4 linked regions of the Saccharomyces cerevisiae S288C genome follow. The protein of the gene in region 1 interacts with the protein of each later gene in a biochemical or structural test. Each region holds a gene or a part of one and is shown in the gene's direction. Other genes may lie near its edges. The genes, in order: CIA1, CIA2, MET18 and RAD3.

What was found.
Region 2: the proteins of CIA1 (region 1) and CIA2 form a complex in vitro, tested with the Saccharomyces cerevisiae proteins (2 studies listed by BioGRID).
Region 3: the proteins of CIA1 (region 1) and MET18 form a complex in vitro, tested with the Saccharomyces cerevisiae proteins (one study listed by BioGRID).
Region 4: the proteins of CIA1 (region 1) and RAD3 form a complex in vitro, tested with the Saccharomyces cerevisiae proteins (one study listed by BioGRID).

The regions. Positions count from the first base shown.
Region 1 is NC_001136.10:1,001,930-1,005,017, reverse strand, and holds CIA1 (iron-sulfur cluster assembly protein CIA1), read left to right. Parts: upstream 1-1,515; coding exon 1,516-2,508; downstream 2,509-3,088. Other genes in the region: tryptophan--tRNA ligase MSW1, read right to left, coding at 1-1,014; E3 ubiquitin-protein ligase HEL2, read left to right, coding at 2,995-3,088. UniProt on the Saccharomyces cerevisiae protein: Essential component of the cytosolic iron-sulfur (Fe/S) protein assembly machinery. Required for the maturation of extramitochondrial Fe/S proteins.
Region 2 is NC_001140.6:352,054-354,820, forward strand, and holds CIA2 (iron-sulfur cluster assembly protein CIA2), read left to right. Parts: upstream 1-1,571; coding exon 1,572-2,267; downstream 2,268-2,767. Other genes in the region: mismatch repair ATPase MSH1, read left to right, coding at 1-400; LSM12 (Lsm12p), read left to right, coding at 703-1,266; EPT1 (bifunctional diacylglycerol cholinephosphotransferase/ethanolaminephosphotransferase), read left to right, coding at 2,762-2,767. UniProt on the Saccharomyces cerevisiae protein: May play a role in chromosome segregation through establishment of sister chromatid cohesion.
Region 3 is NC_001141.2:112,023-117,477, forward strand, and holds MET18 (Met18p), read left to right. Parts: upstream 1-1,783; coding exon 1,784-4,882; downstream 4,883-5,455. Other genes in the region: TAO3 (Tao3p), read right to left, coding at 1-1,215; RRT14 (Rrt14p), read right to left, coding at 5,002-5,455. UniProt on the Saccharomyces cerevisiae protein: Key component of the cytosolic iron-sulfur protein assembly (CIA) machinery that mediates the incorporation of iron-sulfur cluster into apoproteins specifically involved in DNA metabolism and genomic integrity.
Region 4 is NC_001137.3:525,469-530,007, forward strand, and holds RAD3 (TFIIH/NER complex ATP-dependent 5'-3' DNA helicase subunit RAD3), read left to right. Parts: upstream 1-1,613; coding exon 1,614-3,950; downstream 3,951-4,539. Other genes in the region: RPH1 (Rph1p), read left to right, coding at 1-291; adenylate kinase ADK2, read left to right, coding at 506-1,183; ATP-dependent RNA helicase BRR2, read right to left, coding at 4,062-4,539. UniProt on the Saccharomyces cerevisiae protein: ATP-dependent 5'-3' DNA helicase.

The DNA.
Region 1 (3,088 bases):
TCTTGGGCCTTTCAATTCCTCAATTATCACTTCTGAAACATAATCTTTGAAATCCCTATAGTTATTGAAACGAGATACATCTTCTACGACATCTTCAATCGATTTTCTTTGAATGCCACTGACAATGTTAATTAAATTCGATACGCCTGGTCTTTCTACAGGGTCGTAGTAGAACCTATCAGAAATGGAATCTGTTAAAGCTTTTCTAATCTTTTTCTGAATTGCCTTAGGCTCATCATTCAAAAAAATTACAGAGTCGTGATTCGGATCACTCTTGGACATTTTCTTTTCAGGCGTGCTTAAGCTCAAAACTTTTTTCGTTTGTGCCAACATAGTTACAGGTTTAGGAAAAAAATTTTTCTTGTACATTTTGTTAAACTTTTCAGCAAGGTGTCTTGTTAGTTCCAAATGCTGCGATTGATCATCGCCAACAGGAACGTGTGTAGATTTATAAAGTAGAATATCCGCTGCCTGTAAAACAGGATACGAAAATAAGCCCAGTCTAACTTTTCCCACGTCAGAATCGTTAACCAGATAATCCCCATTAGTTGATTGTTTGATATTCGATTTTGATTTCCATTGCGTCATGCGGTTAAGTAATCCCATCGAGGCAAGAGTAGAAAGCAACCAGTGTAATTCACTGTGTTGAGGGATGGCGGATTGGTAGATCACCGAAGCCTTTTCTGGATCTACACCGACAGCCAGTATACTTGCTACTGCCTCATGGCGAAATTTTCTAAACATTTCTCCATCTGGCTTTGGAACAGTGATAGCGTGTAAATCAGCAACTCCAAATATCAATTCCTGGCCAGGTTGTTTTAATTCACATAAGTCTGTCCAAACACGTGTAGCACCTAGATAATTACCAAGGTGGAAACACCCAGTTGGCTGAATCATACTAAATACCGTAGCATTACTATGAAGCGCTTCGGAATTCAGCTTAAAATCGGCACGTTGCACTGTGCTTATCCACCTTTTACTGATTAACTTCAGAACCGCCTGCTTATTCGACATCTTCCTTGTAAAAGATAGTGTAAATATTTATCAAAACCTGATTCACTCCTTAGTAACGTAAAACCTTTGAGATGGTGCAGGTAGCCTGTAATAAATCATAATACCCTTTTCTACTTTCTCGAAGCCGATTTTATCACGTGAAAAACAAAAAATACCTTTGCACTTCTATCTTGTTTTGTGTTGCCTTTATAAGGAGAAAAAGATCTTCAAGAAAAGGTCATACTAATTGTAGAAACGTTTGAATTTAAGGAATCTGACTCTGATGTGCATAGCAGTGTTACTACTATTTATTTTCTTGAAAAATACCATCGTGATTGCCTTCAAATAGGTCATCTAAAACTTTCTGCTCTCAGCGGGCCGTGTTTTGAAAAATCTCACATCGAATATTGTATCGTCTTTGCCTCATTAATTGCGAATAAATACTAGATTTGTAGATATCACAAATCAAAATCGGGCTATACCACGACATTTTAATAGTTCAATTGGTTTACTTATTTGGTAATGGCGTCTATCAATCTGATTAAGTCTTTGAAACTTTACAAGGAAAAGATATGGTCTTTTGACTTTTCTCAAGGTATATTAGCAACAGGTTCAACTGATCGAAAAATTAAGCTAGTTAGCGTGAAATATGACGATTTTACGTTAATTGATGTGCTAGATGAGACTGCTCATAAAAAGGCGATTCGATCTGTGGCGTGGAGACCTCACACTTCGCTGTTAGCGGCTGGCTCTTTTGATTCCACTGTATCTATCTGGGCTAAGGAAGAATCTGCTGACAGAACTTTCGAGATGGACCTGCTAGCTATTATCGAAGGTCACGAAAATGAAGTAAAAGGTGTAGCGTGGTCGAATGATGGATATTACCTAGCAACCTGTTCCAGAGATAAAAGCGTGTGGATATGGGAAACAGATGAAAGTGGCGAGGAATATGAGTGTATTAGTGTTTTGCAAGAACATTCACAAGACGTTAAACATGTTATATGGCATCCATCTGAAGCATTACTGGCTTCAAGTTCTTATGATGACACCGTCAGGATATGGAAAGACTATGACGATGACTGGGAATGTGTTGCTGTCTTAAATGGCCATGAAGGAACTGTTTGGTCTTCTGATTTTGACAAGACTGAGGGCGTGTTTAGACTGTGCAGTGGAAGCGACGATTCCACTGTACGGGTATGGAAATACATGGGTGACGACGAGGATGATCAACAAGAATGGGTTTGTGAAGCTATTCTCCCGGATGTACACAAAAGACAGGTATACAATGTTGCATGGGGCTTTAATGGCCTCATTGCTAGTGTAGGAGCGGATGGAGTACTAGCGGTCTATGAAGAAGTAGACGGAGAATGGAAAGTTTTTGCTAAACGTGCATTATGTCATGGAGTTTATGAAATCAACGTTGTGAAGTGGTTGGAGTTAAATGGTAAAACTATACTTGCAACAGGCGGTGACGACGGGATCGTAAATTTCTGGTCTCTAGAAAAAGCAGCGTAGATGTAGAAGCAAGAGTACAATTCAGGAACTCATATTAACACAGTGATCGATCTGAATTCTAAAAATAAACTTAATGACGATTTTTCTACCTAGTTACATAAACCTTTGTATCACTATAACGCAATTCTGTCATGTGTGACGGAGTGACCTCGTTATACATATCCCTGCATTAAAAGCATGCGGTAAAAACTGAAATTTAAAAATGAAAAAAAAAAAAATTAGATATTCGGAAGACTTGTAATTAAGCATTATCTCGAATAAAGAAAGGTTACACTGAAAGTTTCATACTCGCGGTCACTCTTAATAATAGCTATATTTTCTGATTTTCTCTTAAGATTTTGAAAAGGGCATCTGAACGACTGCCCACTCAGCCATATTCAACAAATCGTCGAGCGCATACCTAGCTGAAAAAGATCCATAAAGTGCATTTTGATACAGTCTCTTTCGTCGAAAAAATAGTGGCTATACTTCTTTTCAAGAATTAGGATGAGCGAATCAGTGAAAGAAAACGTTACTCCGACACGTAACTTCCGTCGTACTCAAGGGCCCCAAAATAATACAAAACCTCACAACGACAGGA
Region 2 (2,767 bases), on another chromosome or scaffold:
CATGGTTGAGATGATAGAAACATCGTTCATCTTGCAAGGAGCTACGGAACGGTCTTTAGCTATTCTAGATGAGATTGGCCGTGGGACTAGTGGTAAAGAAGGCATTAGCATCGCTTATGCAACTTTAAAGTATTTGTTAGAGAACAATCAATGCAGAACGCTTTTTGCTACACATTTTGGTCAAGAACTGAAGCAAATCATTGATAACAAATGTTCGAAAGGAATGAGCGAAAAGGTCAAGTTTTACCAAAGCGGAATCACTGATTTAGGTGGAAACAATTTTTGTTACAACCATAAGTTGAAGCCGGGCATCTGCACGAAATCAGATGCCATTAGAGTTGCGGAATTGGCCGGATTTCCAATGGAAGCGTTAAAAGAAGCCCGCGAAATATTGGGATAACTTTTGAATACAACTATTAATTGTATATAATTTGACATGTAATATAATAAGATGTGGAATCAATTTCCCTGTCTTTTTTTTCAAAAGCGACTGTGAAGATACTTAGAAAATGGCAAAAACGGTAGTTTGCAAATTTCCGTAGTTTGTCGCGCGAATGATATTAGCGGAAACAAAACGATCAAACCTTATACCATGAATATAATGGTGGATATTTATTACGGTAAGGAAACACTCTGAGCCAGGCTTGTAAATAGCGGTTATCTAAGCTTGTAACTAAAGAAATCAATTTGCATCTTTCGTCCATGAGTGTCAGCCTTGAGCAAACGCTCGGATTCAGAATAAAAGTTACGAACGTGTTGGATGTAGTTACTGAAGGAAGATTGTATTCGTTCAATTCATCCAACAACACTCTTACTATCCAAACAACAAAGAAGAATCAATCTCCACAAAACTTCAAGGTGATAAAATGTACATTCATCAAGCATTTGGAAGTCATTGGTGATAAGCCCTCGTTTAACTCATTCAAAAAGCAACAAATCAAACCCTCATATGTCAACGTGGAAAGAGTTGAGAAGCTTTTGAAAGAAAGTGTAATAGCATCTAAAAAGAAAGAACTCTTAAGGGGCAAGGGTGTGAGTGCAGAGGGTCAGTTCATTTTCGATCAAATCTTCAAGACCATAGGAGATACTAAGTGGGTGGCTAAAGACATCATTATTCTTGATGACGTTAAGGTGCAACCTCCATACAAGGTCGAAGATATCAAAGTGCTACATGAGGGAAGTAACCAATCCATTACATTAATTCAAAGAATAGTGGAAAGAAGCTGGGAGCAGCTAGAACAAGACGATGGTAGGAAAGGTGGATAGATTAATTAATGACGGAAACGATAATATACGTTATATATTTTATCCGTACTTCTATAATGTCAACTATTGTTTATAAAGAGATCCATTTGAGTCTACAGATTTTTCTATTTATCAAACTATAATATTCCACCACTCTCTTCTCAGTCGCAATGCTTGGGTGTACGGTGTTTGAATAATTGAATTAGATTTAAATGCGAATAAGTGATGACTAACAAGCAAAAAAATCGAGTATTTCAAGATCCAGTCGAATATAAAATCTTGCTACTGCATTATTCTACGATTTCCTGTTATCACTTATAGTACACATGTCTGAGTTTTTGAATGAAAATCCCGACATTTTAGAGGAGAACCAACTTCCCACTAGAAAAGAAGATAGTACCAAGGACCTTTTGTTAGGCGGGTTCAGCAACGAAGCTACGCTGGAAAGGAGAAGCCTTTTGCTGAAAATAGACCATTCTTTAAAGTCTCAGGTATTGCAAGATATAGAGGTCTTAGACAAGCTTCTTTCCATTCGAATTCCACCAGAACTGACTTCCGATGAGGATAGTTTGCCAGCAGAAAGCGAGGATGAATCCGTAGCGGGTGGAGGAAAGGAGGAGGAAGAGCCTGATCTCATTGATGCTCAAGAAATATATGATTTGATAGCTCATATTTCCGACCCTGAGCACCCGTTAAGTCTGGGACAACTCTCTGTTGTAAATTTGGAAGATATTGATGTTCATGATTCAGGAAACCAGAACGAAATGGCTGAAGTCGTGATCAAAATAACACCAACAATTACCCATTGTTCTCTGGCAACGTTGATTGGTCTGGGGATACGGGTCAGGTTAGAAAGGTCTCTTCCCCCAAGATTTAGAATTACTATTTTGTTGAAGAAAGGTACTCATGATAGTGAGAACCAGGTAAATAAACAACTAAATGATAAGGAACGTGTAGCAGCTGCATGTGAGAATGAACAACTGTTGGGTGTAGTCTCTAAGATGTTAGTGACTTGTAAGTAAACGGGGATTCTTCTTTTTGCTTCCCTTACTCACGAAGCTATCAAAAAACATGTAAATTTAACAATGTGCTCTCACTGTATAACACAGCTATAGCTACATTTTATTATATAGTATTTTCTCCAATCGATTAAATAACGGTTTTTACAATGGTTTGGTTCCTGTATCTTGTTTATTTTGTTCAAATGGCAAAATACAGAACACAGGTATAACTTTCTTTGTCTTCTTCATCAAAGAGTATCGCATATCAAACCTTTATGTACATTAACGAACTCTCGACCTATAGTAGCCTCCTGGCGTTCGTTCAGTGTTATTCTTACGATTGGTCTCACTTTTCATAAAATTTCACAAGCTTCCATATTTACGCGAGGAATTGTGCGAAAGGGCTGGACTGAGCATACGTATATTTGTCGAGAAATTACGTTGTGGCTAAGAATACAATGGCATCGTAGTAGGAATTAGAAGTGTAGAATAAGAAAAACAAGCTAAGGTATAAAATGGGA
Region 3 (5,455 bases), on another chromosome or scaffold:
CGAAGACTTAATTAAACTAGTTGATATAGAAAGTGGATCAGTAGTTTTTAACTGAGTAAAAACAATCTCTTCTAGCTTATCAGATAAATCTTCTTCTTCATTGCTGGAAGCCTGCTTAACAATTTCATTTAGCACCCTGCATAGGATGTATATACTAATCAGAGATTTCCTATCTGCAAGGAATGCTTCTTCTTTTGCTACTTCAATTGTGTTCTCTAAACTTTTCAATTGTGAGTTCGCTATGGATGGACTTGAAGTAGCGCTATTGTTACTGCTACTAGCTTTGATTAACGGAACTTTGTTGTTGAAAGATGAGGAAACGTGCCTTTTCATGCCAGGAAGATTATTGGTATTGTTATTATGTTTGTACTTTGAGGTTGTATTACTGGAAGATCTTGATAGCCGCCTATTCATTAAAAAATGAGCCTGCGAGGGATGTGCCTTTTCAAACTCATACTCTTTTAATAGTTTTTCCATTTCTTCTGAAGCAGAGTTGGCCGCTTCAGATTTAGTCTTCCTCCAAAACATCATTGCATCAATCACAGGTTTCGGTTTTTTCTTTGCAATGTGACCTAGAGATTTAATAATTTCATCAAAGCTGGGATCAACGCCTTCACCAAGAATTTCTACAATTGGGGGTTCCGCCATGTCCAACTGCTGTAGACACATATTTAGTTTGTTCTCCGCGTAACGAATAAACTTTGTAAAAAGTATATGAAGAGCATATTCAGAGGGACTTTTCCAATCTGTAGCCATTTGCTGTCTCAAAGTAGTCACGTAGTCCTCTGCTACTGATTTTGCTGTAATGTCCGGCGGTGCTGATTCTTGCATTCTTTGCTGCTTTTGTTCAGGTAGTAGCATTGAAATCTTGTTTTGATCACTTTGCTCCTCAACAAAGGTAGGCGGAAGAGCTTGACCTTCCCCCGTTCCTTGTTGCTGTTGTTGCCGTAAAAGTAATTGATTATTTAGAGAGGTGCCTTCAGACATATCAGTAGGAGATGGAATATCAATAATAGGTGCATCCGTAACGGATTGGTGAAGAGGAAATGTGTTAAGTGGCGCTTCGTTTATTTCCTCCAAGACATCCTGGCCTGAAGGATCAATATCTATTGATATCTGGTTATTGTTGCTAGAACCTTCTGCTTTATTTGTCGGTGGGAAGGTGAAACCAATGCCTTGATCCCTCTGGGGCGGGAAAGTAAATCTCGAGGCCATTTTGATGTATAACAAAACTAAAAAGGGTTATTAAAATGGGAACACAACAAACAACCAGAATTTTCACACTTTAACCAGTCACGTCCTATTATGAAGACCTAAATCCACATTTGCTTTCTCTCTTCATTTGCCTAATCCTTTATCCCAATTTCTACAGTTCTATATGTATTTTCCTGTGTGGCTGTCGTTTCGTGGTTAGTGATACAACCATAACGATTCAACCAACTCCCAATGTATGTGATGTTGATACCGCTAATTTGGAAGGGATGGTATACTCTAGGTGACCTCAATGAGTCAAAGAGAGCTAGGACATACTTCGAGATAGGTAATACCACTTTGCAGCTTCTTTTTAGGCCTTCATGAGTGAGTAGCCAAGAAAAAGTTAAAAGCGGGTAATAGGTATGAATTTTTCAAATACTGAAATTTGGTTTAGTTATTTAAGTGAATTGTAGATTATGTACATTTTACGTGCAATGAAGGAGTCACCTCTATGATCATCTAGTTATTAGCTGTTAGTTTTCATTGAACTTGTTTTAACTGGGAAAAAGCGGAACAATTGGGCCTTACAATGACACCAGACGAACTAAATTCAGCAGTCGTCACCTTTATGGCCAATCTGAATATTGATGATTCGAAGGCCAACGAAACCGCTTCCACAGTAACGGATTCTATTGTACACCGATCAATAAAATTGCTGGAAGTTGTCGTTGCGTTGAAAGATTATTTTCTTTCAGAAAATGAGGTAGAAAGGAAGAAAGCGTTGACATGTTTAACCACTATCTTAGCAAAAACTCCCAAGGACCACCTCTCCAAAAACGAATGCTCAGTAATATTTCAGTTTTACCAGTCTAAGCTTGATGATCAAGCGCTTGCAAAAGAAGTCTTGGAGGGCTTCGCCGCATTAGCTCCAATGAAATATGTCTCCATTAACGAGATAGCCCAACTTTTGAGATTATTATTGGACAACTATCAACAAGGCCAGCATTTGGCATCAACTAGACTGTGGCCATTTAAAATTTTGAGAAAAATATTTGATAGATTTTTCGTCAATGGATCCTCGACCGAACAAGTCAAACGAATCAACGATTTGTTTATTGAAACATTTCTTCATGTTGCCAATGGTGAAAAAGACCCTAGAAATTTACTCTTGTCATTTGCACTTAATAAATCTATCACATCGTCCTTGCAAAACGTGGAGAATTTTAAAGAAGACTTATTTGATGTCTTATTTTGCTATTTCCCAATCACTTTCAAGCCACCAAAGCATGATCCTTACAAGATCTCCAACCAAGATTTAAAAACAGCTTTGCGATCAGCAATTACTGCGACGCCATTATTTGCCGAAGATGCTTATAGCAATTTGCTGGACAAACTCACTGCTTCTTCACCGGTAGTGAAAAATGATACACTTCTGACGCTATTAGAATGCGTTAGAAAATTCGGCGGCTCTTCTATATTGGAAAATTGGACGTTACTTTGGAACGCTTTGAAATTTGAAATTATGCAAAACAGCGAAGGAAATGAAAACACTCTACTAAATCCGTACAATAAAGACCAACAGAGTGATGATGTGGGCCAATATACTAACTACGATGCTTGCTTGAAAATTATTAATCTAATGGCATTGCAACTATACAATTTTGACAAAGTATCATTTGAAAAGTTCTTCACTCATGTATTAGATGAGTTGAAACCAAATTTTAAATATGAAAAGGATTTGAAGCAAACCTGCCAGATTTTGTCCGCTATAGGTAGTGGGAATGTCGAGATATTTAACAAGGTCATTTCGTCAACTTTCCCCTTATTTTTGATCAATACATCTGAAGTTGCCAAACTTAAGCTGCTGATTATGAATTTTTCTTTTTTTGTTGACTCGTACATTGATTTGTTTGGAAGAACATCTAAAGAATCGTTGGGAACACCGGTGCCAAATAATAAAATGGCTGAATACAAAGACGAGATCATAATGATTTTGAGCATGGCCTTGACAAGAAGCTCCAAGGCAGAGGTTACCATAAGGACTCTATCTGTGATTCAATTCACAAAAATGATTAAAATGAAGGGCTTTTTAACCCCAGAGGAAGTTTCACTAATTATTCAATACTTCACGGAAGAAATATTAACGGATAACAACAAAAACATTTACTATGCTTGTTTGGAAGGGTTAAAGACAATCAGTGAGATATATGAGGATTTAGTTTTTGAAATATCATTGAAGAAATTATTGGATTTGTTACCTGATTGCTTCGAGGAAAAAATTCGAGTAAATGATGAGGAAAATATTCACATTGAAACAATTTTGAAGATTATTCTTGATTTCACCACTTCGAGACATATTTTGGTCAAAGAAAGCATTACATTTTTAGCGACAAAATTGAATAGGGTAGCTAAAATTTCGAAATCCAGAGAATATTGCTTTCTACTTATTTCAACCATATATTCTCTTTTTAATAATAATAATCAAAATGAGAACGTGCTAAATGAAGAAGATGCTCTTGCACTCAAGAATGCCATTGAGCCAAAATTATTTGAGATAATTACTCAGGAATCGGCCATTGTAAGTGACAATTACAATTTGACACTTCTATCTAACGTTCTTTTCTTCACCAATTTGAAAATTCCACAGGCTGCACACCAAGAAGAACTAGACAGATATAACGAGCTTTTCATTTCTGAAGGTAAGATAAGAATCTTAGACACACCGAATGTATTGGCTATTTCATATGCTAAAATATTATCCGCACTAAATAAAAACTGCCAATTCCCCCAAAAATTTACAGTGCTTTTCGGAACGGTTCAACTACTCAAAAAACATGCTCCAAGAATGACGGAGACTGAAAAATTAGGATACCTGGAATTGCTGTTGGTCTTATCAAATAAATTCGTCTCTGAAAAAGATGTGATAGGATTATTCGATTGGAAAGACTTATCAGTAATTAATCTTGAAGTGATGGTTTGGTTGACTAAAGGGCTGATAATGCAAAACTCATTAGAGTCATCAGAAATTGCAAAAAAGTTTATTGATTTACTGTCTAATGAAGAGATTGGCTCACTTGTATCGAAGCTATTCGAAGTTTTTGTCATGGATATCAGTTCTTTGAAGAAATTTAAAGGTATCAGTTGGAATAATAACGTTAAAATCTTGTACAAACAAAAATTCTTCGGTGACATTTTTCAAACACTAGTCAGCAACTATAAAAATACCGTGGACATGACCATTAAATGCAATTATTTAACTGCATTATCCTTAGTGTTGAAGCATACTCCAAGCCAATCGGTTGGTCCTTTTATCAACGATTTATTCCCGCTTTTATTGCAGGCTTTGGATATGCCTGATCCTGAAGTAAGGGTATCCGCTTTAGAAACTCTGAAGGACACTACGGATAAACATCACACTTTAATTACTGAACACGTAAGCACAATAGTTCCATTATTACTATCTCTTTCGCTTCCGCACAAATATAATAGTGTCAGTGTCAGGTTAATAGCCTTACAGCTTCTAGAAATGATTACGACTGTAGTACCTCTAAACTATTGTTTGAGCTATCAGGACGATGTTCTAAGCGCTTTAATACCAGTTTTATCTGACAAAAAAAGAATAATAAGAAAGCAATGCGTTGACACAAGACAGGTTTATTATGAATTAGGCCAAATCCCGTTCGAGTAAACGCTTGTATTTAATAATTTGTTCACATTGATGAGCACGTGAAAATCTTAGCGAGTATACTAAGTAAATATGATTCTTTTATGTATAGTACAGCAAAATAGCATTTATTTTTATTACGTTTAATCTTCTTCACTAGAGTCTTCCTCGTCGCTTAGTCCTACAGGTGCCAAACCCGGTGTCAGACCAGGATATCTATGATCTTTAACAAAATCGCTCTCTTTGATATCTTCCTTGAATTGTTTTCTTTTGAACCTTCTTCTTTTACTCCTGTCTGTGTTCGCAGTGGAAACTGTATCCTTCAAGATGGATTGCTGAATGTCTTCAAGCTCATCTCGTACTTCCTCTTCTAAATCCCACGACCTCAAATTTTGAGAATTCCTTTTGATTAACTTATTCAAATACTTCCTCTCATGGTCCGTTAATGTGCCCTCATGTTGATGTTTTTTCAAAACCTGGTGTTTTGCCAGTTGTTCAAGTTGCTCTTTATCTAATTTATGTTTCTTAACTTTTTTTTTTTTGACCAGTTTGCATTTTTTTTTAATTTTGTGAACGTCTCTGTTTTGTAACTGTACT
Region 4 (4,539 bases), on another chromosome or scaffold:
GTGTTATCAGGTAAGAACAAGATTTATATTTGTAAGGAATGCCAAAGAAAGTTCTCTTCTGGTCACCATCTTACAAGACACAAAAAATCCGTCCACTCTGGTGAGAAACCTCATTCTTGTCCCAAATGTGGCAAAAGATTTAAAAGGAGAGATCACGTTCTGCAGCACTTGAATAAGAAAATACCGTGTATTTCAAACGAAACAACAGTAGATGCTCCAATAATGAACCCTACAGTGCAACCGCAGGACGGGAAAGCGGCCATTAATCAACAGAGTACACCTTTAAACTGACTCACGATTGCCAGTTGTTTACCGAGATCTCTCATTTTGAAGGCTCTTAAAATGTGCTCGGTCGGCCGGGAATTCGCGAAAACCCACATTCACTAATAAATACCATTACAATAACCATCATTATATAGATACACATGTGTAGAAAAGGATAATATACGTATATATATTTGTTTGTAAATCTTTAAATTTTCAGGAACAGGGTTAGCAAGCATCAATGAAAGCAGACGCGAAACAAATAACACATCTACTCAAACCTCTTCGACTTTTATTATTGGGGGCTCCAGGGTCAGGTAAAGGGACACAGACTTCGAGATTACTAAAGCAAATTCCACAATTATCTTCAATTTCGTCAGGCGACATTTTACGTCAGGAAATAAAATCTGAATCTACCCTAGGCCGAGAGGCTACTACCTACATTGCTCAAGGCAAGTTATTACCGGATGATCTCATAACGCGTCTGATAACTTTTCGTCTTTCGGCATTGGGTTGGTTAAAACCATCTGCCATGTGGTTGCTCGATGGATTTCCTCGAACTACTGCGCAAGCTTCTGCCTTAGACGAGCTGCTGAAACAGCATGACGCCAGCTTGAATCTAGTGGTAGAGCTAGATGTACCCGAATCCACCATATTAGAAAGGATCGAGAACAGATATGTTCACGTTCCTAGTGGGAGAGTGTATAACTTACAATATAATCCTCCCAAAGTGCCAGGATTAGACGATATCACCGGAGAACCATTGACCAAGAGGCTTGATGACACAGCGGAAGTGTTTAAAAAAAGGCTAGAAGAGTACAAGAAAACAAATGAGCCTTTAAAAGATTATTACAAAAAAAGTGGGATTTTTGGTACCGTCTCTGGGGAAACATCAGATATTATCTTCCGAAATTATTGAACCTTATAACCAGCAAATTCGGCTAATAGGGTGATTTAACGCTACACTAACTGCAAGTATATGTTAACCTTCCCCGAGACTTTGAAAAACCGTGACTCTAGTTGGAAGTCAGCATCTCGTCAACCAAATGATTACAGTTCACTTTGAATATTCTGAATAGCCTTTATGATATGAGTTAATCCTATATTAATCATGGCCGACGGCATTTAAGCGATGTATATGAAATTTATGAAAAATTAAAGTAGCGTACTTTATGCTACATAGCTTTTGAAAAGAAATCTCTGGTCTGTAAATAATAAATAAATATATATATATGTATATCTTAAAGTTGACAAAGTACTGTTAGCCATTCATAGAAATACTATATTTCATCTTGGGTTGAAGGTGATAATCGGCCCGATTTGACTACACTTTAAGAAGATTGGAAACAATGAAGTTTTATATAGATGATTTACCAGTGCTTTTTCCATACCCCAAGATATATCCAGAGCAGTATAATTATATGTGCGATATTAAAAAGACTCTGGATGTAGGTGGAAATAGTATCTTGGAGATGCCTTCAGGAACAGGTAAAACGGTCTCATTACTATCCCTCACAATTGCCTACCAGATGCACTACCCAGAACATAGAAAGATCATATATTGTTCTCGTACTATGTCTGAAATTGAAAAAGCTTTAGTAGAGTTAGAGAACCTTATGGATTACAGAACTAAAGAACTAGGCTATCAAGAGGATTTTCGAGGTCTTGGCTTGACATCAAGAAAAAATTTGTGTTTGCATCCCGAAGTGAGTAAGGAACGAAAAGGTACAGTAGTCGATGAAAAGTGCCGTAGAATGACAAATGGGCAGGCGAAGAGAAAATTAGAAGAGGATCCAGAGGCAAATGTAGAATTGTGTGAATACCATGAGAATTTGTACAATATTGAAGTAGAGGATTATCTTCCAAAAGGCGTATTTTCTTTTGAAAAACTTTTGAAATACTGCGAAGAAAAAACACTTTGTCCATATTTTATTGTTCGTCGTATGATTTCTCTTTGTAACATTATTATTTATTCTTACCATTATCTATTAGATCCTAAAATTGCTGAAAGAGTTTCCAACGAGGTTTCTAAAGATAGCATTGTCATTTTTGATGAAGCGCACAATATTGATAATGTGTGTATCGAATCGCTGTCATTAGACTTGACAACGGATGCATTGAGAAGAGCCACACGAGGTGCTAATGCGTTAGATGAACGTATTTCTGAGGTCAGAAAGGTTGACTCACAGAAATTACAGGATGAATACGAAAAACTAGTTCAAGGTCTCCATTCTGCAGATATTCTTACCGACCAGGAAGAGCCATTTGTGGAAACACCTGTATTGCCCCAAGATCTTCTAACAGAAGCAATCCCGGGAAATATACGAAGAGCCGAGCATTTTGTTTCATTTTTGAAAAGATTGATAGAATATCTGAAGACCAGAATGAAAGTTCTTCACGTTATTTCAGAAACGCCAAAATCATTTCTACAGCATTTAAAACAGTTAACTTTCATAGAAAGGAAACCTCTTCGGTTTTGCTCAGAAAGGCTATCATTACTTGTAAGAACTTTAGAAGTTACAGAGGTAGAAGATTTTACTGCATTGAAAGACATAGCAACTTTTGCTACTCTTATATCAACATATGAGGAAGGGTTTTTACTAATTATTGAACCGTATGAAATCGAAAATGCTGCAGTTCCGAATCCGATTATGAGATTTACTTGCTTAGATGCATCGATTGCCATCAAACCAGTCTTTGAGAGATTTTCTTCCGTTATTATCACTTCAGGGACCATATCACCATTAGACATGTATCCAAGAATGTTAAACTTTAAAACTGTTTTACAAAAATCATATGCCATGACCTTAGCCAAAAAATCATTTCTACCAATGATTATTACCAAGGGTTCTGATCAAGTTGCAATTTCTTCAAGATTTGAAATCAGAAACGATCCTAGTATTGTTCGTAATTACGGTTCTATGCTAGTAGAGTTTGCCAAGATCACACCTGATGGAATGGTTGTTTTTTTCCCCTCATATCTATATATGGAAAGTATTGTTTCAATGTGGCAAACAATGGGTATTCTTGACGAAGTTTGGAAACATAAATTAATTTTAGTTGAGACTCCTGATGCTCAAGAAACTTCTTTAGCCTTAGAAACCTATAGAAAGGCTTGCTCAAATGGGCGTGGGGCAATTTTGCTTTCTGTTGCTAGAGGAAAGGTATCTGAAGGTATCGATTTTGATCATCAATATGGCAGAACTGTGCTGATGATAGGTATCCCGTTTCAATACACAGAATCGCGTATTTTGAAAGCTCGCCTAGAATTCATGAGGGAGAACTATCGCATCAGAGAAAACGACTTCTTATCTTTCGATGCGATGAGACATGCAGCTCAATGTCTGGGGAGAGTACTGAGAGGGAAGGACGACTATGGTGTAATGGTACTAGCAGACCGTAGGTTTTCAAGAAAAAGAAGCCAGTTACCAAAATGGATTGCTCAAGGTTTGTCTGACGCCGATTTGAACCTTTCGACTGACATGGCCATATCCAATACCAAACAATTCTTGAGAACAATGGCACAACCCACAGACCCTAAAGACCAAGAGGGTGTATCTGTTTGGAGTTATGAAGATTTAATAAAGCACCAGAATAGCAGAAAAGATCAAGGTGGATTTATTGAAAACGAAAACAAAGAAGGAGAACAGGATGAAGATGAAGATGAAGATATAGAAATGCAGTGATGCAATGATACGCTTTTGCTATAAACTGTATATATCACAATTAGATTAAATAGCCGCAAGAGAATGTTATATATTGAAATCCATTCGATTATCCAGGACTAAACAATGATTTTATTTCACATTTATTTCAAAGGACAACTCTTTATCTGCGTCAAGATATGAATCACAGACACACCAAATTGTTAAGTTATGTTTACCAGATGTCGGAGTGTCAAATTCCAATTCATATTGCTGAGTCTCTTTATTTAAAGTAACTTTCTTGATCGCATAAAGCTCTTTTTTAGATACTTCACCTAAAACCAACCACCAACTTTCTAGCTTATCAAACGGATACTTTTCAGATGTTACTTGTAAGTTCTCAGGTTCAACATCTCTTGTCAATTGAATGGTAATTTTCTGTTTTACACCTGAAATTAACGAATCAGAATTATTCAACGAATAAGTAAGTTCAACGTTGGGGTAATTGTTAACAAACGCGGCGACCTGCGCAAGCTGTGAATCAGTAAGCGTTAAAATTTCATCCCTCTCTTCATCCTCAAGGGCCATTATATCATAGACCGTCTCGACGTTAATTTCTTTACATTTTTCC